7 linked regions of the Kluyveromyces lactis genome follow. The main gene of each other region encodes a partner of the protein of the gene in region 6 in a complex. Links are inferred from orthologs where the notes say so. Each region holds a gene or a part of one and is shown on either strand. Other genes may lie near its edges.

Region 1 (4,300 bases), on a different chromosome or scaffold from region 6:
TCTTCGCTAAAAGCAGTTCCCATGAAAGCGTAATTCCATATCGATGACGAAGGTACCAAGAAATTGCCCATAATGCGTTCAGATAATAAAATCTGTGCAGTCTCGCTAAATGAAGCTTCAAACCCTTCTGGTGAAGGGTCCGTTATGTCTTTCGATTGTAAGCCCCAGTTGAAACCCGTAGTGCTTAACGTATATCCTGTAATTGATACGGCACCTGGGATTAGATTTATGCACAAATCAACAGCACTTTCGTTATGATCTGAAAACATTTTGGAATGAGTGATCACTTCAGATGGTGACATGAATTTGGAATCGACTTTTTGGGTATGTATCCATCCCAACAGTTCCATGTCGTTGAGATATTTGGAAGATGAGGGGGGAGGAGATATGCGAACAGTTGCGGAACTGCCGAGTTGAGGGACAAGTGCTATCGTCTTAATTTCCTTCACATTAGGGTGATCTTTTACAGGTGACCCGTACATATACCCTGCAATTTGGACATCGACATCAGCTATTGTGACAAACTTCTTCAACAAGTTCCGTGGGAATACGAGGACATCTTTATCTTCTACAAAATCTTCGGCAGTAACATATATGTTCTTAAGCTTCAAATGTAGCAATGAATTGGAGATTGCATTTGACCGCCAAGCATTTTTCGAACTGAAAGATTGGGACTCATAATTGCTGGATGACACCACTGTAATTTCTTCACCTTGAGCATTGATTGTTTTTAGCTTCATGGCTGCCGTGGCAGACTGCGACGACTCATCAGTTTTCTGATTTCTTGCAGCCTCCAATTCTGCCATCTTCTGCCTCTGAACAGATGGAGCTCTAATGTTCTGTCCTAAAATCAAATTCTTGATTTCAGTTTGAGTCAAAGAAGCAATGTTTACATTGTATTTTTGACCATACTCTAAGAGAATTAGATCACGCATCTTCGTCTCAATTTCAATCCACTGATCATCAGTAAAAGAAGGCCATAGATGATTAGCTCTCGTTGGGATTGTAGGATCCTCTAATAGAATCATTTTGGCTTTTTCTTCATTGGTTTTGAGCGCTCTTAATAGCAATATCAATCTAGAGAAAGCAGTGTAGGCAGAAACTCGAGTTAGCCAGTCATCATAAATGTTGAACAAAACCATCTGCGGTTCTGTAGCGCTTAAAACAACATCATTTAATTTTTCTATGTTCAAAACAGAAGAAAAAGGTAATCTGAGCTCAGTTGGACGAATCGAAATGTTTGGGAAATCTAACATGTGTACTTCCATAGGGTCCATCATAGCTTTTCTAGTAACTATAATTTGTTTAGGTTGTTCTTCTTTGGGTAACGATCTAACCAATGCACTTACTTCTTCTGCGGTTTTCCATTTTGCCAATTGAGCCAATCTGCTCTGCCCCGCCCACACCGAAGTGTGAATTATTTTCAAATATAGTTCACCTGTTTTCGGATTTAAAGTAAACACGCATCCGTTGATAGGCTTAGTAGCCACATTGCCTTCATAAGTTCTATGAACAGTGACCCGGTAAACATTCGTATCATCGATAAAGAATTTTGTGTCATTGGAAAATAGCTCTGCGTAGTTGGATGAGTTCAAAAATGGCTCTTGAACTTGAGATTGATATATCTGAAGACCTTTCCTGATACGCTCCCTCAAAACGTAAAGTGCTGGATTAGCTTTCATTATTGTTTTCATACCGTTGTGTATCAAGGGCTTCAATCCCTCAAACCACGTTCCATAGGAGTCGTAAATATTATAGGCCAAGTCAATACCGATCATAATACCAGTAGGAGACGGGTACAAGCTCACGTTATCTGTGGTGTAATCTAAAAATTTCGCACGGACATATCTTGATATATCATGAGAATCATAGTCACCATATCTAAGCTGCACATCGATCCACATTTTGTCAGTTGTGGTAGCGTCGAAAGAATCTTTCGTCTGATGCAACAATGTTGGTCTGCTAACCTTCCATTTGTAAATACTGTTCAATGTGATGTCAGCAGCAGACGAATTCATCTTATACGACTTACGTGGATGAATTGATTCTTTTTGAACAGATTCAATCTGTAGTATATCCATTTGGCCGTCCAGAATTTGACAGATGTCGAAAACCACACTTTCGTGGATTTTTTGCCATAGATGTGCTCGGAAAATTTGAATTAAAGATATCTTCAATGTTGGAATTTTACCGTGCAAGAATATTCCTGTTAAATCCAATTGCACCAAAAACCCAACGTAGACGTTCGCTCTATTAATCGTCGGAGACCACCATAACGTAAACCTACGATTAGGGATCTGACTCAAACCAGTTCTTTGTGCATGAGTAAGTTTCTTGAACTGCATTGAATCTTCAAAACCAGAGGCTTTCTCCCAGAAAAGTCCTTCCCATGATTTAAAGCCAGTTCCTTTAAATAATGTGTGCTCAAGAATTGTTTCGATACCCCCTAAGGCCTGAATGACATCCGTACGATAGGCATTCAAGTTCCATAATTTACCATCATGACGATTATTTGTCCACCAGAAAGCATTACTACGTTCCACTGAATACTCTTTGAATTGTCGCCTAATCCTGTGACCCTTATCATAGGCTAGCGTATGCCTATCTTTTTGGAATATGGTACTGATCCGCGGTATACCTCTATCCCAAGAACCCTCTAATTCTTCAAATGCCAACCTACGATTTTGTTTTATGGCTTCTTGTCTTTTAGCAGCATAATCCGCCCATACTCTCTGTGAGTCCAAAAATTCGTTCTCCCAGGTAGTAATGTATCGGAAAATTGTTGGTATCATCTTCTCATCTTCGTGGGACATCCCTGCCCTGAAATGTGTTATTCCAGTATCTGTGTGTTTTGACCACCTCAAGTCAGAAGCGGGAATTAAAATGTGCGATGCGCTGAGCATTCCCAAACCACCTAACTCTTTAGGTGTATAAAACACTGCTGGAGGGAACCTTGTTGGCATTTTAGAATTTAAGCCGAGTTTTACTCTATTTTGAACTCTAGTCTCAGATTTCACGAGTAAGTCGAGTAACGGTTCTGTCGTGACGATAGATTCTCTAAAATAGGTAAACAAAGCGATTAGTGCAGTATTCCATTTGCCCACAATTTTTGTAAAAGTTGTGGAGCCGGAACCCATCAAAATACTTTGAATACGACCTCTAAACTCATCAATAGCTTCTTGTGATACCTGTAAAAACGCTTTGGCAGTCCGTTCTTTTGTGGAGTCCAACACCAAATCCCATACACCCTCATCATGAGAAATGACATCTTCCATCCGAGATTTCGGTAGTATTCTCACCTCAAAACCGCACATAGTGAAAAGTAAATTAGGATTATTCTTGCTATAAACTGAAGAAAGAGTATTCTCCCACGTTATGTTAACAAGTGATTTTGGTACCCTAGATGTAAGTTCCCAGAAAACAGCACGACCTAGATTAACATCGTGTCTGATTAACCTCATGCGGGCGTCTCTAGGCCAGCATTTCTTGTTGTTATAACCAACAGAATTTTCAAAATTTGGATCGGGGTTTTCCATCAAATAGTCTTGGATAAGCTCATCAGACTCAGATTCTTCAAAGTGGAATAAAATATGGATTTTGTCAAGATAGCGTGAGTAGAGGCGAATTGGGCTCTTCGTTTCAGTAGCTTTATCTGGAAATTGCAAGAATTCAGATGGTTCGTTTGGAGGGCCTGCTAGTTCCTGTGCCCTTTCATGTCCCAAGATGAGAATATCAATCATTAAACCATAAAATTGATAAACAAATGGTGCAAATTGTAATCCCCTTATTAGACCATATTTGTTAACATGATTCATATCCTTAAAGATCAAACTGACATTATTCTTTGCAGTAATGTAATCCGCTAATGTCGGATCGATAATTAACCTTAGGAGCCTGTTTATTAGTGTCAAATCCATCTTTTCAACGAATTCTTGTAAATCAGTTTGCAACAATACGGTCGATTGCCCTTTGCTGATGTCCCATACAGAATCTAAGTTGTTAATGCCTTGACACCATTTGTAAACAAGAAGTGGCGGGATTTCTGAGTCACCTGGCTTTATCCAACTAGGGAAAAGCTGCCTTCTGTCAGCTTCATACCATAGATACTGGTCAAGATATGCATCGGTAATTTTCTCCAACGGATCAACGTTATAGACTGGAGATATGTGTTGATAATGATCCATCATTGTTAGTTGTATTGGCTTGAATAATCTTTGGGTTAGCAATAGTTTTTTAATTCTATTCAAGGTATCATGAGGATTGTCATATGCCTCTTCAATTAAAGCTAACTCTTCACGTT
Region 2 (2,294 bases), about 930 kb from region 6:
TGGTATTATGTTATATGAGAATCTCGTATTATTTCTTAACTGAGAGTAATCCTTCCGAGCAAGATATATCGTTCAATTTATTACATGATTTAATGAAGAAATATATACTTGATCATAGAAAATTAAAAAGTTACTCGTTAGATATGGATTGTTGGTCATCATCGATTAAAAAAGAGATTAAATTGATACATTTCGATGAGTTGATAGACTGGTTATGCGACAGGAATGAAATTTGGGGCATCCCCTTAGGAAAATGCAATTGGTGTAAAATATGGGACGATGAAGAGGACGATGAGAGCTCAAGCGACTCGGACTCCAGCTCTGATCCAAGAGATGACAGTGATCAAATTTGATTCCATTCTTTCTTTTTTTGGAGGCATCGACTGGAAAGAACGGCTATTCATTATGAAAGATAATTATCAATAGTGTTTAATCATTCATCAAAACAAAGTCCATAACATCACTACATATTTATTTCCACATATGTTTTCTGATGTATATTAAAATGCCCTCTTTGGACGTTTAGGAGCATTCCCGTTACTCTCAAGTGATCTCTTCTTATTCGGATCACTTCCCACTTTACCTTGTTTCCTCAACCTGTTGACTTCCTGTTGGTCTACAAGCAACGCATCCAAATTGATACTATCTGGTAAAATAATCTGCCTTATCGTATTACCCCTAATGTTGATGAACTCGAGGCTAGTTGTTCTCTTAGATTCTTGTCCTTGTGTCGATCCACCTGACAATAAGACGGCAGCCAAGGTAGCTTCTGAGGTCTTAGTAGGGAGTGTCAGCCTGACGTCAGTAAGAGAGACGTTCATCTGCGGTGACACACTCCTCACTATTCCCCAAACAGTGGTACCATTCTTCAACTCTATAGACACCCTTTCATTCTTTAGTTTCTTTAAGAACCCTGTTAACTGCATTTTGTCTGTATATAAAACTTCGTTGTTTCAATCGGACTAAAGATACACCAGAAAGCTGTTACCAGTTTCAAATGGTTTTGATGAAAAAGAGTTTTGAATTTTGCAAAAGTAACAGATGATCCACAAGCAACTTCCTGATTTTGATAAAAGATCAGGATTTGATCGTAGTTACTCAATTGACATATTCTACATAATGATGGATGAAATGGTTCAAATTGATACTCAAGAATCAATGGGGTCGTTCTTTCCTGGAAAAGAGTGGAAATTTCATATTATCACGTGCCTTAACAGGGTAACTCATTTGCGTGAGATTCCAATGGTTTCTTACATTCGAGCGAGCATGTGTTCGAATCTTACATGGAACCCAAAAAGTATTTAGATCCGTTGCATCTCATGTTAAATGGTTAACAGATACACGGAGAAGTGCGATAAGAAACTATCCATGCAAGCGATAACAAAACGTTCTGTCAGTCATTGCTTTGATAAAATCTGGATATATATATATATATATATATATAGATGTTAAAGTCAGATATTACTCTTTTCATATCTCATGGATCGCAAGCTTTCAAGGTTACTGCTGCTCGCATCGAGAGATTGGGAGTATTAAAGATTAACGCCAAGAGTAAACATGTCGTCATCAGTAATCTTGAAGAGATATAATATTTTACTCAAACGTAACCCGTTATTAACTAAATGCATAACAGGCGCGGTATTAACTGGGTTAAGCGAACTGTTCAGTCAATGGGTTAGTCTGTCTCCAGAGGAAAGAAAAGAGAAGCTAAATTGGATCAAAGTGGCATTGATGAGTCTATATGGTGGTCTATTTAACGCACCAGTTAATCATTTCAGTTACAAATGGATAAACGAATACACAATTAGGAAAGTGGTATCCAAATATAGAAGCTTGGTCCAGTTAGGCTGCTCATTAGGCATGGTATCGCCTATTCAAGTGTTAGGGTTACTATTTACCTTGACTTCTGTTAACAACGGTAAGGTTGACAAAACAAAAATTATACACGCAATCAAGACAAGATATGCGGCAATGTTGTCTTCCAGCTTGGCAACATCAACGGTATTGATGTCAATTGCTCAAAGATACATTTCACCAGATAAATGGTCCGTATTTTTTAGTTTGGCATACGCAATTCTGGGTACGGCTCAGAATATTTATTTGAAGAAATTCAAGAAATAAGGGTCTTGATCCATTCTGATAAAATATTACTTTCATTCTTCAAGGAAAGAATCTCTCTCCGCAAATTCTCTTGAATCATTCGGTTTTTATCGTCCTCAGTTTGATCGTTTTCTGAAGACAAAGATATTGGACTCATCGGTAGTTTATTCCAATGTTCCAATTCGCTTTTCAAG
Region 3 (3,371 bases), on a different chromosome or scaffold from region 6:
TCCGTTTTCATCAAGAATTCGACCAACTGTTTGGGATCTTGATTTCACATTGCAGCTATCACCGCTTCCATCGAGTATCATGCTGTGTGACACTAGCGCACCAGCTTTCGATGTAACGTACAACGGATGCAAAACGATCAACCCCGGTAGATTTATTCACAAAAGAGCTGCCAAATATATAGAATTCTTCCCTGCTTCTAAGGTTCTAGTAGAGGAAGAGCTACCATTTTAATTTATCAATATTAAACTACTTGTGGACCTACTTTTTGCGGTCGTTAGCATTCATAATTTATTTAAGTTTCTAAGACACTAATCTGAGTACTTGCGTTGGAAATATTTCGTCACCGTATATGGCATACAGTATACTGGATCAATATCTCTTAATCCTGGATACTTCATTATACTTAATCCTCCTAGACCAAAAACCGTGTGAAATACGTCGACTTCGTTGTCTGGTCTGTCACTAATCCCTCCATTTTTGGGATCCTGACAATGCAAAATGAACTCCGTTAGCTTGGGAAAATCAATCCAATCAGCTTTTTGGAGTATTGAAAGTGTTGATAATACCCACCAGCTATAGCATACATCGGGCAGTTTGCTTGGCCTACCATTTAAGCCCCCCTCTGGAACTTGTCTTTCTGAGAGCCAAACAGCAATATTCTCCTGCTGAGCTGGAGTTAAAGAGTCTAATTTTCCGACGATTGCTAAAGCAGCAATGCAAGTAAATGCCTGAGCAGCATGAGATTCTGCTTCAGGATTTAAGCCAAATCCGCCATCGAAATTGTAACATCTAAGGATATACGAAACTGCTGGTTCTACAACTTCTTTCGTCAATTTGTGTAAAATGGACAAACAGCTCAATGCAGTATATACGAAACGTGTGTCGACTTCACCAAAACTATCACCTTGGAATGAGCCGTCTGCTTTTTGATTGGATAGGATAAATTTTTCCAATTGTTCTTGCTTCTCTGAACCCAAGCGCTCTAAAGCGTTGTAAGTAGCCAAAATCTGAAGCCCTGAAAGAGTCGTTAATAGATGACCATCATGTCTTGGAAACGCAGCAAACCCACCAGTTTTATGATCCCAACAGCTTAGGACAAACTGTATTACATCCTCCTTATTGAATGTTTCGATAGAATCAAGGAGATAGAGGGCTGTCAATCCCCAGTATACCCCATTCAACCTTAGATGTTCTGAGAGCCAGTACTCTAGATCATCTTTCTTAGTATCTAAAGACGCAATATAATCAATGTGTTTATCTCTTAACAACTGCTGTTCACTCATGATCGTTCGATCGACGCCTAGCTTCAGACCCTTTTTACTCGATGGAGTACCTCACTTGTTTTCCAACTTTTGAACTATTCATATTCAGGAATAACGATAAAGTTCATTTTATGAATATGCTTTTAAAGAAGTGAGATGATAAAGAGATGAAATCAAAAAAGTGGCACCGGTAACAACTCACCTTTGGACTATCTGCAGTAACTTCTAATGGTAGAATTAGATGATTTGCAGGTAGATGTTGACTACAAAAACCAGGATGGGCAATCAGTCGGAGATGCTCTGAAAAGATTGGAATTCCAAAGGCAAGAAAGGCTCAAAATTGTGCCTACTCTAGATACAGACGTTAGACGAGCACTAGAGCTAGTGGGAGAGCCCGTTGATATCGCTGGCGAAGATAATTATTCTCGCAGAGATCGACTTTCTGATCTTATTCTTAGCGATCCAAAAGCCAGAGAACGAGTTACAAGGTTAGTAGAGTCAACTTCCAAAGACCAGACGAAAATCGATACTGAAAGAAGTAAAGTAGATGATGAAGACGAGGAGTTCTACACTCCAGCATCACAGCAGTTGATAGAAATGAGGAAGTTTCTTATAATATACTCTATGCAACGCTCTAAGCTGAGGCTTGAGGAGGAGAGACGAAGACTTGTCAGCCAAAATGTGAAAAACGTCATAAGTAAGCGAAGGGACCTGGAAAGTAAATTGAAACAGTTCTCTTTGAAGGGAATGCAGGTGATAGATGAGAAACCTATTTCTGAAATTAATACTTCTCCTGGTGGAGACCTGATGGCTTGTGGCAGTTGGTCCGGAAATTTGTCTCTGGTCGATAATTCGTTGTCCAAAATCTACTGCAATAGATCTTTATCTGGCACAAAGATTAGTGGATTGGATTGGAGCGTGGACTCTAAAAACATTTTTGTCTGTACCCATGATGGACGCATTGTAATATATGATAGTGGTGATGAAACCACAGTTAAGATCTTGTATAAAAATGATGCCAGGTTTGCCCAAGTACGATGCCATCCATGTAATAGTTTTATTGGAAGTACGTCTTTTGACAAAACATGGATCCTGATAGATACTGTGAAACAAGCCCCTATTTTGATTCAGGAAGGTCATTCTGCGGAGGTTTTCTCACTATCTTTTCACAATGATGGCTCATTGGTGAGTACAGCTGGTTTGGATGCAATTGCATTAATATGGGACATACGGTCCGGTAAAAATATCATGTCATTACAGGGACACTCAAAACCTATTTATTCCGTTGACTGGTCCCAAAATGGATATCAGCTTGCGTCTGGTAGTGGTGACGGGACTATAAAGGTTTGGGATATTAGGAAAAAGGGAAATGTGGAAACGATCTTAGCTCACAATAGCATTGTTTCACAAGTCAAATTCAATAAGCAAAACGGAGGATATTTAGTGTCGAGTGGATATGACAAGAAAGTAAATATCTTCAATGATGGGAACTGGATAAAGGAACGAAGCCTTGAAGGGCATCTTGATAAGGTTATGTCAATTGATATTGTAGGTCCTGATATATATAGCGCGGGTTGGGACCGCTCAGTTAACAAATGGGGAGTCTAATTAATTCTACGCAAATTTGTAAAAACGTTAATCATTATGGATGTTAAAATTACGTATCATTTCTTCGATCGGCCATTAGTCGCCTGTCTTCCTCTGCTGGGTTGAATTTTCGATAGTCTATCAGTTATATATCCAAGTTTAGAATGAAGCCCTCCAAGATTTTGCCCTTCCTGTTGTAGTTGTGATTTCAAGAGATCTATTCTCTGTTCAGCACTGGCAACCTTCTTTTTATTTTCGGCTACACTGTCCTCTATTTTCGTTTTCAAGAGCTTGATTTCTTCTCTTAATTTATCTTGTTCTTTGTTGCTTTCATCAACAGATTGAGCGGCTCTTTCTATCTCCTTTTGCATGTATGTTCTCTCAGAAGATTTAGACTCCGAATTTCGTTTTTCTCTCTCGCGGGCATCTTGCAAGTTTGAAATTTCTTCTAGTAAACCCTTCAAAACCTTATGTGGTTCGCTTTTAGACCCTAATTTTGTCATTAAATCATTAATTTCTGA
Region 4 (2,330 bases), on a different chromosome or scaffold from region 6:
TGAATTCTTCAGAAATAAGTCTGACGATAAATATTATGTGCTTTTAAATGATTTATATGAAAAGGAGGGGAAATCGTACATGGAAAAACTACCAACAGGTCTCTCTGTCGTCTTGATAGGTAAATATATGAAGGAGAAATGTCAAAAGGGTGACACTGTTTATCTACTTGACTTCCCAGACAATATAAAAGATGCGATCAAGTTCGAAAATGAGGTTTCCGTTATCGACAAAGTTATTGTACCAAATTCAGAAGGAGACGGCCAGGTTTCCAAATACTTTAAAACCGTGGATAAAGTTGAGACCATCTAAAATGACCCCTCATGCCATTTTCCCCATCGGCACCCTTTTGCATATATCTGGGGACTTCCTATAACAATCCATCCAACTTTATCTCGATTAAACTTTGTAAATATCATCAGTATCTAATTGCCATTCAGCAGAAGTACGTTGTGAATAGTGGGATGTAGATATGCTTCGAATAAAAACGTCAATATTTATGTTATTTCTTGGAACTTCCGAATTCTGTGAAACCCATTAACCTGCCGATTTCAGACTGTGGTTGATATTTGATTTCTGCATCAGATTTCTCACATTTGACTCTCTTTGCCGCTTTGCGTTTATTGGATCTCAATTCAGTGTCCCCGATAAATGCTGATACAGATTTATGAAACTGGGATCGTACCTCATTAAGTGGTACTAGATCATTATCCCTCGTATCTTTTATCAATGGCTCGTTGAATATGTTCTCAAACCGTACAACATGTGATTTGTGATTCAAATGGTTAATGAATTGTAGTGTGTCTTTGAAGGTTAAGTCACATATGTCACAGTAAAACCCGAACTGTTTACCTTTTTTCTGCTGACTTAGATTGGCTGATAACGTCTTTTTATTGATGTCGCGTAGATTATACTCGAGTAAAGCATTGTAGTCTGTGTATCTATCTTTTAAAGCTTTCAGTTGTTCCTGGTCTAATGATGAAAGATGAGATTGCCCTCCTGGAGAAGTTGCTGCCTTGGCAGCATACTCTTCTCTATTCCATGTTCTTCGTCCAAATGACATATTGATTTATAGTGAATAGTACTCCTTCTCAGAACTCAGTACCTGATCTCTTCCTAGGTCATGGAACTTATTATGCATGTCAACATTAAATTAGTTGATGTTTTCCATATTGGATCTTTTAAGTCATTTCATCTCAAAAGAAGGCATAAATGGAACTACAAATTAGTAAAGTACAAGAGTATTTCAAAGGAGTCAGCCATTGTCATATTAATTGTAACAGTTTGCTATCATGTCACAGTCTACTCATAAGCTTACCATTCTCCCTCATATCATAAAATGGGTTCCCAAAGATCCCGCCCCTGTAAGGAAGGTCATCTCATTTGACCTTGATCACACCGTGATCAAACCAGTTAAAGGCCGATTCAGTAGGACATCAGATGATTGGATATTCATGAAATATGGAAAAACCGAGGTACTTGCTAAACTTTCGGCACAAATGAAGGAAACACCAGATTTTCACATCGTCTTCTTCTCCAACCAAGGCGGTGTTGTTAGTGAACCTAGAACCTCTAAAAGCTGCGTAAAACACGTTGATAAAATTTGCAAAGTATTGAAATACATATCGGAAAACGATTCTCAACTGTGTGATCGTATTTGGATTTACTGTGCTACTAAAAAACCAGCTTCCCTTTTTGGTGGCAGCAAAGCCGCCAGCACTGCTCACGCAAATAAAGTTGTTAAGAACATTATTTCTGGCCAGAAGAAAAGAATAAACGGGACAATGGTAACACCTGAAATGTTTGATAATGTGAGAAAACCCAATCGTGGTTTGTTTGATGAATTTCTTAAAGATTCTGACGAACAATCGGACTCAATTGAACTTTTATTTTACTGCGGGGATGCTGCAGGAAGACCAAATGATTTTAGTGACAGTGACAAAGAGTTTGCTAAAATATTGGGCGTACCTTTCAAGGTACCGGAGGAATACTTTATTTGAATTTCGAATGATCTTAAACCTACGTAAAATATATTTATTTACTAAGTTACTTTAATGATTGAAGGATGAGCGTATTATAATGAATTTTTAATTTTAGTATAATACAGCGGCTTTTTCAAAGAGTTGTTCTACAACTCCATTGAGTTGATTGATCAATTCTAACGAAGAATCATAAGTGGCATCCTGTTGTGGTGTCTCATAAATATAAAGCCATCCGTTTCCTTGGTCAAGCACACCAAAGAAAACTTTGTCTAAAATCATTTGTGAAAGTTTGCCCTCTACTTGTTGAGCATCAAGCCCGATAATCTTTGAGATATGCGATACTTCAACAC
Region 5 (2,175 bases), on a different chromosome or scaffold from region 6:
GTAATCAAACCATTCGTTAAATTAATAAATACATCCTGATATTCTTTTCTTTGTTGAGCGTAACGTTGTAAAACTAACATTTGCCTCAAATTAAACCAAAATGGGAAAGTATACGAAACGATATCGAGGTCAGTGTTCTTGCAAGTTAATACCAAGATGACTTCAACCAATGGTTTGAATAAGGCAGGATTCTTTGCAAGAAAAACACACCACGCTTCGCCAGCTTCAACGAATAAACGTGTGAGTGGATCCATAATCTCTTCGTATTCTTCCCAGTCAGAAATGGTTGTGATTGGCAATAGCTTTTGTTGCAAAGCTAAAAGTTGCTCGTAAAGCGCATGTATGATTGTATCGTTGGCTGCGTCTCTCGTTTCTCTTAATAACACACATAAGCATTCTACTGCAGCTTCAAAAGAATCAGAATCAGTATCATATGAAGTATGCAAGACTTGGAACACGGTGTTTATCAATGGAGTCACTTGTAATACCTGTTCTATTGGAAATTCATAACACCACGATCCAAAGCACGAAATGATTTTAGAAGCAGATATGCCTTCAGTTCCGACTCTATCCAAACATGAAATCAAAAATTTCAATACGTCTTCTCCAATGTTATCTATAAGTTCGTGTGTTCTACACTCAAATTCATCTTGGGATAGAGGAGTGGATTTGATATCCAATGTTTCCTCTGGGAGAATCTTCAAAAACAGTAGTAACTTTCCCGGAAGACCATTTAGAGTATTAATAATTTCAACTAGCGGATTCCTCCAATCAAGATACTGAATGGTAAATCGGGCTAGTGCCACGTTCAACTGTGTTACTATGATCTTCTCTTCATACATAGCGATGAACTCAAAGAGCTTTCCCTTGAAACTCTCTAATTCGGTATTGACCTGGTTTAGATCATAGGTGACTTTGTTCACTAGAGTTTGACAAGCAAACATTTGCAACTGTAAGTTGTCTGCTTCATGCTTGCTTAATACTTCGAAGCAGATTTGCCATGCTTCTATGCTCTTTTGAAATTGCTCCAAAAATTGTAAAGCTTGTATCTTCTTCTCCTGTTCAGAAACACTTTGAGTACAAATCAATGCACTCTTGATATCTGGGATTTGATACAACATCAATATTGATCAATCACGTCGTTCTTGCTCAACGGTATCTGCTGTGGCAGTTTTTATGAGTTCCTTTTATAGTGCATAAGTAAGATCAAATGTTTTGGTTGATTCAATATATAAAATTTTTTTAATATGTTAACAATAATCCTATTAAACTAATATCAAACGAATTCAACATGGCACTAGTGACTGACATTAATAAAGGATAACTGCGATCTGATTATAGTTACACTAACATCGACCTTCAATACACCGAAAGATTCTAGAAAAAGTCTAAAATGTCCGGCTCTAAAGTAGGAGCTCCTATGGTACCTCCAATCAATTGCATATACAACTACCTTCATCATCAGACAACAGTAACGTTTTGGTTATACGAACAAGTACAGACACGTATAAGAGGCAAGATCAGAGGCTTTGATGAGTTCATGAATGTGGTAATAGATGACGCTTTCGAAATAGCTGTAGATCCGAAAAGTGGTAAAGAGAGCGATGATAAAGCAGTGTTTCTTGGGAGAATTATGTTGAAAGGTGATAATATAACACTTGTTGTGGCAAATTGATAATGCCTACTCAGAAAATGATAATAGGATGAAAGAAAGATGCTTAGAGTGTAGAAGCATTGATCGGACTCTGTCGTGTAATTATATAAGCCTGTATATTATAACGGAAAAATGAAAGGCACTGAAATTTCGATAACGGCGACAAGCACTATCAAGGCTAATAAAGATATATTGTTCGTAATCTTATGGATCTATTTACAATGTGTTGCTCAGATTGGGGAGAATACCTTAAGTTCATATGGTTTCTTTTGTGTCAGTGATATTATCTAAAAGATATATCTCAAAGGACAGAGTCTTTACGTTCTTCCGCTTGTTTAGTTAATTCATCCAATTTGGTATTAATTTCCTGGTTAAATTGTTCCATCTCACCAGATAAAAATTCCTTCACAATTGGCAAACCTACGTATTTGCCGTTGCCCAAAGTACCAAATAATGCATCCGAAATTTCACCTTCGTTTCTTGCTGTTTGTTGAGAAGTCGACAAAGACAACTTATTTCTT
Region 6 (3,259 bases):
CTGCCGTCAAATCTCCCTGAGTATCATCGTCGATATCCATGAGCGAGTTTTCAGGGTTTTTTACTATCGATCTAGTAGGAGACGGAGAACCACGTATTCTCGTTGGAGTGCTTGGGGGATCTAGCATAACTTTAGCATCCGTATCAAAACTGAAATTGACCATATCGTCGACCAATGCGTCGACCTCCTTGTGACGACCATTCGCATCTCTTGTAAACATTTCTTATTTTAAACTGTGTGATTGAAGTATGTAAATAAAACCGTTAGTGCTTCAGGTCAGACACGTTACTTCTGACTTGACACAATGAATTATCGGCAGATCTGATCGAATAAGAGACCCTAAAGTTCAATGGTTAAGTTGTGTTCTTTGTTTAAAGTTTTCAATTCGAACATTGGATCATCTTTTTGTGTTTTGGTTTTGCCATAATAGGAATCGTAATTACAGATCTATGAATAGACATATACAGGGTATAAAAGGTACACGGCAGAACTATGGTGTCTCACAACCGTGGTTGTTTGCTGGTGGCGGGGTCCGTAGCTTGTGGGTGCTCTGCACTACGTTTGAGCTTTTCGGACCTCTCATCCTGTAGGAAACTGTGCGTGTTTTTAGTCTCTTGATCTAATCTTAAACGCATAGATTTACGCATTTTGGTCTTATTGAAAGAGGACAATGCGGAAACGTTCTTTGAATCGGCCATCCCGAACCCTATTTCTTCTCCGTATGGGTCCATGGTGGTCTGTTCCTCTTTACCGAACTCCATTCTGTTTTGCATTTGCCTTAGATGCGACATCTTGAACTGTTCTTTGTACTTACGGAACCTTCTACCAGCTCTTTTCTTCTTTGGAGCGTCTTCTGGGATCGGCAACGGCTTGATGTTACTGATATTCGGCGGATCTATTATCTTCTTGAGTTTTTCAACGATTTCATGCCTCCATTTCAAGCCCAGCTTCGAGGCATCTGAGTTCCCATCTGAATTCCCATCTGGGTTAATGACTTGATTCCCCATGGTGCAATCCGCTCTCGCAGCAAGAGCAACCTTGGCAGAGACCATTCTAAGCGCCTGTTTCTGGAACTCAGGAGGCTGTGTTTGTACCACGTCTGTATAGAATAGATATCCCTTTTGTCGTACCCCAGAGATATCTAACGATTTGCCATGCAACGTTTTGTCCTGGCCAATGGATGCCAAATTACAACTGGGAACCACACTTAGTTCTTTAACACTACCACAATGTGTTACCAGTTTAGCTGCAGTATCAGGTCCCAATAAAGCACATAAGTTTGGAGCTACCATTTGTATTCTTGTCTCAACATAGTGTGAGACGTTGTCCCGTAAGTTGTACAGAATATCGAACCAATGGATGGCCTTGGAGAGGAGATCCTTATCAATTCGAGCACCCTCTTTGAAATCTGTCTTTAGAGACATAGATACCACAAGGGTTTCCTCCTTCGATAGCACTTGGTCTAATTGCACGTTGGGAATATCCTGTTGCAGCATCTTGACCACGTCGACGTATTGTTTCCTTTCAGGGACAATAGTTTCCAACCCAGGGAACTTGGCCTTGTAGGTATCTACAATGCATTGAAACACCATGGAAAGCTCTGTATCGAATAAAGGCATCAATTGGCCCAGTTTTATGACATTGTAAGGCTCTGTCGTATGGTTTGTTGCATCTCGTATTATAGTTTCGTGCTTGGCAAGTTGGATGAGGTCATCTAAATCCGCGCCTTGGTGCCAGAATTGCGCGTGAAAGTCAGATATTAGGTTGCTAACACTAGGAGAGGGTAAAATATCCGATTCTGTGGCTATACCACTGGTTATACCACTGGTTACACCACTTAACCCATCATCCAAGCTTTCCTCATCGCTGACACTTCCATAATCTTCGTCATCTAAAAGGTCCATTATCACCTTGTGAAAGAGTAAGACAGGGGAATATGGTTATCCAGTTACAATCCAACTGTAAAATACCACATACTGAACTAACTGAGGATGGTCAAAAGAGCAGTAATCGACTAGTACCTGCTCTCGAGTAGCTATCTCATCGCATTTCTACCAATCTTTAATCATATATAATCACTCTATACGATGTGATCTTTTCTTTTCCAAAAATTTTTCAGTTCTTTAAAGCGATGAGATGAGCTTGAGATGAGGTATCTACACCGATGAGACGGACCTTGACCAGTGTCATAGGGCTTTTCTGAGGTCGTTTGAGAGCTCAAGAGGTAGCATAAACGTAGCAATACAATTGAAAAAGGATGTCCAATATCGTTGGTGTTGAATATAACCGTGTGACGAACACAAGTTCAACAGATTTCCCTGGATTTAGTTCGGATCAAGACAATTCATGGGACTTGGAGAAGTTCAAGGAAACTTTTGACGTACAAATCGAGAGTTTGGATGAGCGTGAAGTGAATTTCGATTTGGTTCATGTCGACACATCGATTGCTAACGCTTTCCGTCGTATTATGATCTCAGAAGTACCATCTGTCGCTCCAGAATACGTCTACTTTTTTAACAATACGTCTGTGCTACAGGACGAAGTGTTGGCGCATAGAATCGGGTTAGTGCCATTGAAGGTGGATCCAGATATGTTGAGTTGGGTGGACACGTCATTGCCCGAATCTGAAAGGTTTACAGATGAAAATACGATAGTGATGTCGTTGAACGTGAAATGTACCAGGAACCCAGATGCTCCAAAGGATTGTGAAGACCCCAAGGTTCTTTATAGAAACGCGCATATCTATGCTAGGGACCTTAAGTTTGAGCCTCAGGGGAAACAGGTGGAACAATTTGCCAAGTGTCCCGTGGTGGCAGCGGATCCAGATATCTTGTTGGCCAAGTTGAGACCAGGTCAAGAGATTTCGTTAAGGGCACATTGTATTCTAGGTATCGGTGCAGACCATGCCAAGTTCTCTCCGGTGTCGACAGCTAGTTATAGACTATTACCACACATCCAGATCACACAGCCTATCACCGGTGATGATGCCAAGAAATTTGTGAAATGTTTCCCTAAAGGTGTCGCAGATGTCAACGAGAAGGGTGAAGCTTATATCAAGGATCCAAGGAAGGATACCGTGTCCAGAGAGGTGTTGAGACACGATGAGTTCCAGGGGAAGGTTAAGTTGGGTAGGGTGAGAGACCACTTCATCTTTAACGTGGAGAGTTCTGGTGCTATGACACCGGAAGAAATCTTCTTCAAATCGGTCAGGATCTTGAAGAACAAGGCGGAATACTTGAAGAACTGTCCAATCTCACAA
Region 7 (4,180 bases), on a different chromosome or scaffold from region 6:
ATACAAATCGTTTTTGTTGCAACTTCTTGAATAGATCTTGATCAATGTATTTCTTTAATGATGGCCCGTCTTGAGTCATGTGACCACTTTCAGATAAACCCTTGCGACGTCTTGTCTTCATCACAAAGTCCCTGCTTAGGCTTGCAGCAGGCGCTGGTTTCAACTTCGGTATGAAGGCTTCTTCGTCAAGTACGTCACCTGGCACTTTTCTCCATATTTTATTCCAAAAGTGCATTTGACACATTCCGCTACCGGCGGTCGCAACACGAAGATCTGTCTCAAATCCAATCGACTCGATGACAGGTAATTGAGCCTTTATTTCTATGAATGGTGATGCCACTATCTTTTCTGTCTTGTAAATTCTTCCACCTCTGCGTCTCTTCAATAAATTCTGAATCACAGACTCCAATACCCCCGATACGATAATATCGACTTCATAGATGGGTTCCATGATAATTGGAGTAGCAGACATTAGCGCAATGTAACATGCCTTTCTCGTCATTGGCACTAGTTGAGATGGGATGATATCTTCGATGCTGTCTTCTTGTACCTTGAATTGCAAGAGTTTAAATTGGCATGCATGGATTGTTTCATCAGCCAATGGTCCTTCTTTCACAGCCCATTCAAACCCTTGTAAAATGTTTTCTTTATATTTCTTGAGTAGTTGCTTATCCGTTTCATCAGGTAGAGTATCGTCAATGAATACATTACATTTTGATAAATCCCAGCAGTTTCTAGCTGCCAATGAGTCCCATCCATACTCGGTTCTTAGACGTTTGGAGAACTTTCTCATGTTATTCAATTCTGAACTGTCGATTTCACCATGCGTCAAATCGTGTACTATCTTTCCATCTAATTTTTCGGCCATAACGCTGAGTGATACTACACCGTTGTTTGACTTTACAGGAATTGACGCGAACGATTCGTTCTGACAACTTTCCGTGAATTGCACAAGCGGTTGGCTTACTTTGATCTCAATTTCACAGAATTTTTTCCGTAATTCGTCCATCACGCAATCAAGGTAAAGTTCTCCTGTTCCAATTATGATGTTTTCGCCGCTTTCTTCAACTCTAACCACTAATGCAGGGTACAATTCGTTTGCTTGTTGAAGACCGTTCAATAGTCTCGGTAGTTCACTTGGTTTCTGAGGCTGTATGGCGAATTTGAACACCGATTCGTTGAGATAGTTAATTGGTGCTAGCGGGTTCATCAAGCTCGAAGACAAAGTTGCATATTTCGTATACTGATCTTCAAAACCTTTTAAAAGTACAATCTGTCCTTTTATTGCTTCCTCGAGTTCGTAGACATACCTACCTCCCATTAAGGCTACACGCTCAATAGTAACCTTGGAGTATTCATCATCACCAAAATCTACTACAGAGTCTACGGACTCATTGAAAATATAGAGTTTGTTGCCTTTTTTCACTGAGCCCTCTATTATCCGACAAAGGGACCACTTGGAACCTTCCAGGCTCATGTGTCTCAATACATGTACAACAGTGCTTTCATCGGATGATAAGTTGTTGATTTTGTGGTCCTGTGTTGAAACAATAGCATCGATGAAGCAGTGATAGTGCGGTAGTATAGCATGAAACACGCTAAAAAGTAGCGGCTGAGGATCCTTTGATAGAATCTCATCTGAAAGCCTGATTTGAAAATTGGTTTCGATGACTGTTCTTAGTTCTTCCTCGGATGCAGATAATGTATGAGTGAAAACCTTGTATAAAGGTTGTAAAATAAACTGAATGAATGCAATGTTGTCCGTAATAAATTCTGTTTGGTAGAATGCTCCTTCTCTGTAATTAATTTGACCCCAAAGTTGAGCAGCAAATTGTTCTGTCTTATCCTTTAACGATTTAGCGTAAAATGAGTTCACAAAAGACTCCACAGAGAATAAGAATCCAAACTTGGTACTGGCAAAGAGTACATTACCTAGCTCCGGTGAGAATCTTTCTTTGGTATATGTGTTTATTTCGTTCACGATATATTGTAGTTTGCTGTATGCGTCTGTAGGAGGAAGTCTCAAATCCAAAATTAATCTATCAATTTTGTTAAGAACGATGATAAAGGGGATCCCATTACTTATCAATTCTCTTATCAGTTTGGAAACTACAGAAGTAATTCCTTCTATCACATCAACGATGATTACACCATATTGGCAAGCAGTCAAAGCAATACCGACATCGTCCCAAAAATTTACATGTCCAGGTGTGTCCAACATCGTCACTGCATACGTACGTCCTCTTGACGATTCATATGCAAACGACATACCATTCAATCTAAGCGAAATACCACGTTCCTTTTCTATCCTCGCTTGGTCGAGGTACCTAAACGGTACCCATCCCTCCTTAACTTTTTTTGTCAAGGACGGAAGATTGCGATGAGTATCTAACGCAAACATATCCGTGAAAGAAGTCTTACCACAATGTAGCGCCCCGAAAATTCCAACATTTAACTGACGTTCTGGTATCGAGAAAAGGCTTTTCAAGTACCCTCTGTCAAATAGTGCTTTAGGTACTTTCCTGTTAACAGCTTCGCTATATGATTTCGAATCGTCCCCAATCAATGGTTTCTCAGGTTCTCTATCTTCCACTTCCAACAAAACTTCAACATCATCATCGAAATCACGGTTCACATCTCGAAGTACCACATCGGTAGAGTCAGCCTCGACTATCTTTTGCCGTAATTCATGTTGAGCTTCCTGCTCTCCTACTTCTTCCAAACTATCATCATCAGAATCGATTAATTGCATTGGATCCCCAATGAAATTACCGAACTCATCGTACAAATCTTCATCCATTATTGTATTTCCTTCCAAAAGTACTCAGTGCTGAGTCACGTCACCCAAATCGCAGTAGTCTTCCCTAAGAGCAATGCATGTGCTTATCATTCTATCTTCATTACTCGAAGCTTTGACTTTCGTCAACATTTACATAATGTCTAAGAACTGAAAATATCGATGAGCCCTCGAAAAGACAGACATTTTGCCAAGACGGATGCCGAAAGGGTTCTAGGAAATAAAAAGGGTGAGCTTACCAAGGGGTCACACAGAGCCGAACTGCATTTTGAAATGCCTGAATACATCTGGCTTTCTAATCTTAACGGGAACATACACATTCCCGAGCGATTGTTGTCTTTATTGAACGAGGAAGACCAGGATATTCCCGATGAGGTTAAAGAGTTTACATATGTACAGCAACTTGACAAGAATTTACTTTCGCGGACTTCTGTTATTGGTCTAGGGTTTGGGTTGATGAGTCCCGTACTTGGTATGAGCACTACTATGAGTATTGGATTGCTAAATGGTGGATCTCCATCGATAATATTTGGGTATCTGATATGTGGGATAATGACGTGGATTAGTTCACTGTCGCTCAGTGAGATAGTCTCGAAGTACCCCATAGAACTTCACGGTGCAGCGGCCATGCTTGCGCCTGGCAGACTTCGGTTGCGTATGTCTTGGTACTGTGGTTGGCTAATGTTGTTTGGAAGTTGGACGATGAGCACTAGTATTACGTTTGCGGGTGCACAATTGATTATTTCTTTGCTGACAATGACTAATGAATCTCTGATAGACTCCCGGTGGTTGACGTTATGGACTGTGCTAATGTTTTATCTCATTGTGACTGTGGTTGGAGTCATTAATCTAAAATTTTCAAGTTTCATTGAAACTATCAATAAGGTCTGTGTTTACTGGATCTTATATGCGATATTATTCACAAGTACACTTCTCCTATTATTCCAACCAAACCATAGATCATTCAAGGATGTCTTTACCAAATTCGATAATAGTTTGTCGGGGTATAGTTCTATGGCCTTGTCATTTTTAATTGGAGGGTTTCAGCAATCTAATTTCACTTTCCAAGGGTTTGCGATGTTATCGGCATTATCTGACGAAACTGAGAAACCAGAGAAAGATATTCCTTACAGTATGACACGCTCTGTGATAATCTCACTAGTTTCCGGACTATTTTTCTTGATCCCAATGATGCTCATTCTACCTGATGTCTCTGAGGTAATGAATCATGAAGGTGTCATGCCCATCGTGCTTATCTTCACAAAATCTACTAAATCGTTATTCGTTTCCATCTTCCTTGTTCTATTGATCTTGGGAAACCTATTGTTTTCAGGTATTGGCTCGGTGACTACATCTTCAAGAGCACTGTACAGTTTAAGCCGT

The links.
Region 1: PRP31 (region 6) and PRP8 share a complex: the UniProt entries of both Saccharomyces cerevisiae proteins name them as parts of the U4/U6-U5 tri-snRNP complex. The link is inferred for Kluyveromyces lactis from reciprocal best matches to the Saccharomyces cerevisiae genes PRP31 and PRP8.
Region 2: PRP31 (region 6) and SMD1 share a complex: the UniProt entries of both Saccharomyces cerevisiae proteins name them as parts of the U4/U6-U5 tri-snRNP complex. The link is inferred for Kluyveromyces lactis from reciprocal best matches to the Saccharomyces cerevisiae genes PRP31 and SMD1.
Region 3: PRP31 (region 6) and PRP4 share a complex: the UniProt entries of both Saccharomyces cerevisiae proteins name them as parts of the U4/U6-U5 tri-snRNP complex. The link is inferred for Kluyveromyces lactis from reciprocal best matches to the Saccharomyces cerevisiae genes PRP31 and PRP4.
Region 4: PRP31 (region 6) and SNU23 share a complex: the UniProt entries of both Saccharomyces cerevisiae proteins name them as parts of the U4/U6-U5 tri-snRNP complex. The link is inferred for Kluyveromyces lactis from reciprocal best matches to the Saccharomyces cerevisiae genes PRP31 and SNU23.
Region 5: PRP31 (region 6) and SME1 share a complex: the UniProt entries of both Saccharomyces cerevisiae proteins name them as parts of the U4/U6-U5 tri-snRNP complex. The link is inferred for Kluyveromyces lactis from reciprocal best matches to the Saccharomyces cerevisiae genes PRP31 and SME1.
Region 7: PRP31 (region 6) and SNU114 share a complex: the UniProt entries of both Saccharomyces cerevisiae proteins name them as parts of the U4/U6-U5 tri-snRNP complex. The link is inferred for Kluyveromyces lactis from reciprocal best matches to the Saccharomyces cerevisiae genes PRP31 and SNU114.

Annotation. Positions count from the first base shown.
Region 1 is NC_006037.1:471,930-476,229, reverse strand, and holds part of PRP8 (U4/U6-U5 snRNP complex subunit PRP8), read right to left. Parts: coding exon 1-4,300. UniProt on the Saccharomyces cerevisiae protein: Functions as a scaffold that mediates the ordered assembly of spliceosomal proteins and snRNAs. Required for association of BRR2 with the spliceosomal U5 snRNP, and the subsequent assembly of the U4/U6-U5 tri-snRNP complex.
Region 2 is NC_006040.1:320,348-322,641, reverse strand, and holds SMD1 (mRNA splicing protein SMD1), read right to left. Parts: upstream 927-2,294; coding exon 501-926; downstream 1-500. Other genes in the region: U4/U6-U5 snRNP complex subunit PRP38, read left to right, coding at 1-353; KLLA0_D03751g (uncharacterized protein), read left to right, coding at 1,558-2,121; KLLA0_D03740g (uncharacterized protein), read right to left, coding at 2,111-2,294. UniProt on the Saccharomyces cerevisiae protein: lays a role in pre-mRNA splicing as a core component of the spliceosomal U1, U2, U4 and U5 small nuclear ribonucleoproteins (snRNPs), the building blocks of the spliceosome. Also binds telomerase RNA and is required for its accumulation.
Region 3 is NC_006041.1:426,787-430,157, forward strand, and holds PRP4 (U4/U6-U5 snRNP complex subunit PRP4), read left to right. Parts: upstream 1-1,491; coding exon 1,492-2,871; downstream 2,872-3,371. Other genes in the region: DPB2 (DNA polymerase epsilon noncatalytic subunit), read left to right, coding at 1-232; Rab geranylgeranyltransferase BET2, read right to left, coding at 310-1,284; HDA3 (Hda3p), read right to left, coding at 2,928-3,371. UniProt on the Saccharomyces cerevisiae protein: Involved in RNA splicing. Is required for the association of U4/U6 snRNP with U5 snRNP in an early step of spliceosome assembly.
Region 4 is NC_006041.1:139,236-141,565, reverse strand, and holds SNU23 (U4/U6-U5 snRNP complex subunit SNU23), read right to left. Parts: upstream 1,062-2,330; coding exon 501-1,061; downstream 1-500. Other genes in the region: AIM36 (Aim36p), read left to right, coding at 1-310; TPP1 (polynucleotide 3'-phosphatase), read left to right, coding at 1,291-1,998; proteasome regulatory particle lid subunit RPN6, read right to left, coding at 2,092-2,330. UniProt on the Saccharomyces cerevisiae protein: Participates in pre-mRNA splicing. Part of the U4/U5/U6 tri-snRNP complex, one of the building blocks of the spliceosome.
Region 5 is NC_006037.1:204,513-206,687, reverse strand, and holds SME1 (mRNA splicing protein SME1), read left to right. Parts: upstream 1-1,393; coding exon 1,394-1,675; downstream 1,676-2,175. Other genes in the region: mRNA transport regulator MTR10, read right to left, coding at 1-1,121; mitochondrial 37S ribosomal protein PET123, read right to left, coding at 1,956-2,175. UniProt on the Saccharomyces cerevisiae protein: Involved in pre-mRNA splicing. Binds and is required for the stability of snRNA U1, U2, U4 and U5 which contain a highly conserved structural motif called the Sm binding site. Involved in cap modification.
Region 6 is NC_006040.1:1,253,026-1,256,284, reverse strand, and holds PRP31 (U4/U6-U5 snRNP complex subunit PRP31), read right to left. Parts: upstream 1,905-3,259; coding exon 501-1,904; downstream 1-500. Other genes in the region: KLLA0_D14905g (serine/threonine-protein kinase), read right to left, coding at 1-220; DNA-directed RNA polymerase core subunit RPC40, read left to right, coding at 2,258-3,259. UniProt on the Saccharomyces cerevisiae protein: Promotes the association of the U4/U6.U5 tri-snRNP particle with pre-spliceosomes to form the mature spliceosomal complex.
Region 7 is NC_006037.1:603,631-607,810, reverse strand, and holds the start of SNU114 (U5 snRNP GTPase SNU114), read right to left. Parts: upstream 2,801-4,180; coding exon 1-2,800. Other genes in the region: TPO5 (Tpo5p), read left to right, coding at 2,960-4,180. UniProt on the Saccharomyces cerevisiae protein: Component of the U5 snRNP complex required for pre-mRNA splicing. Binds GTP.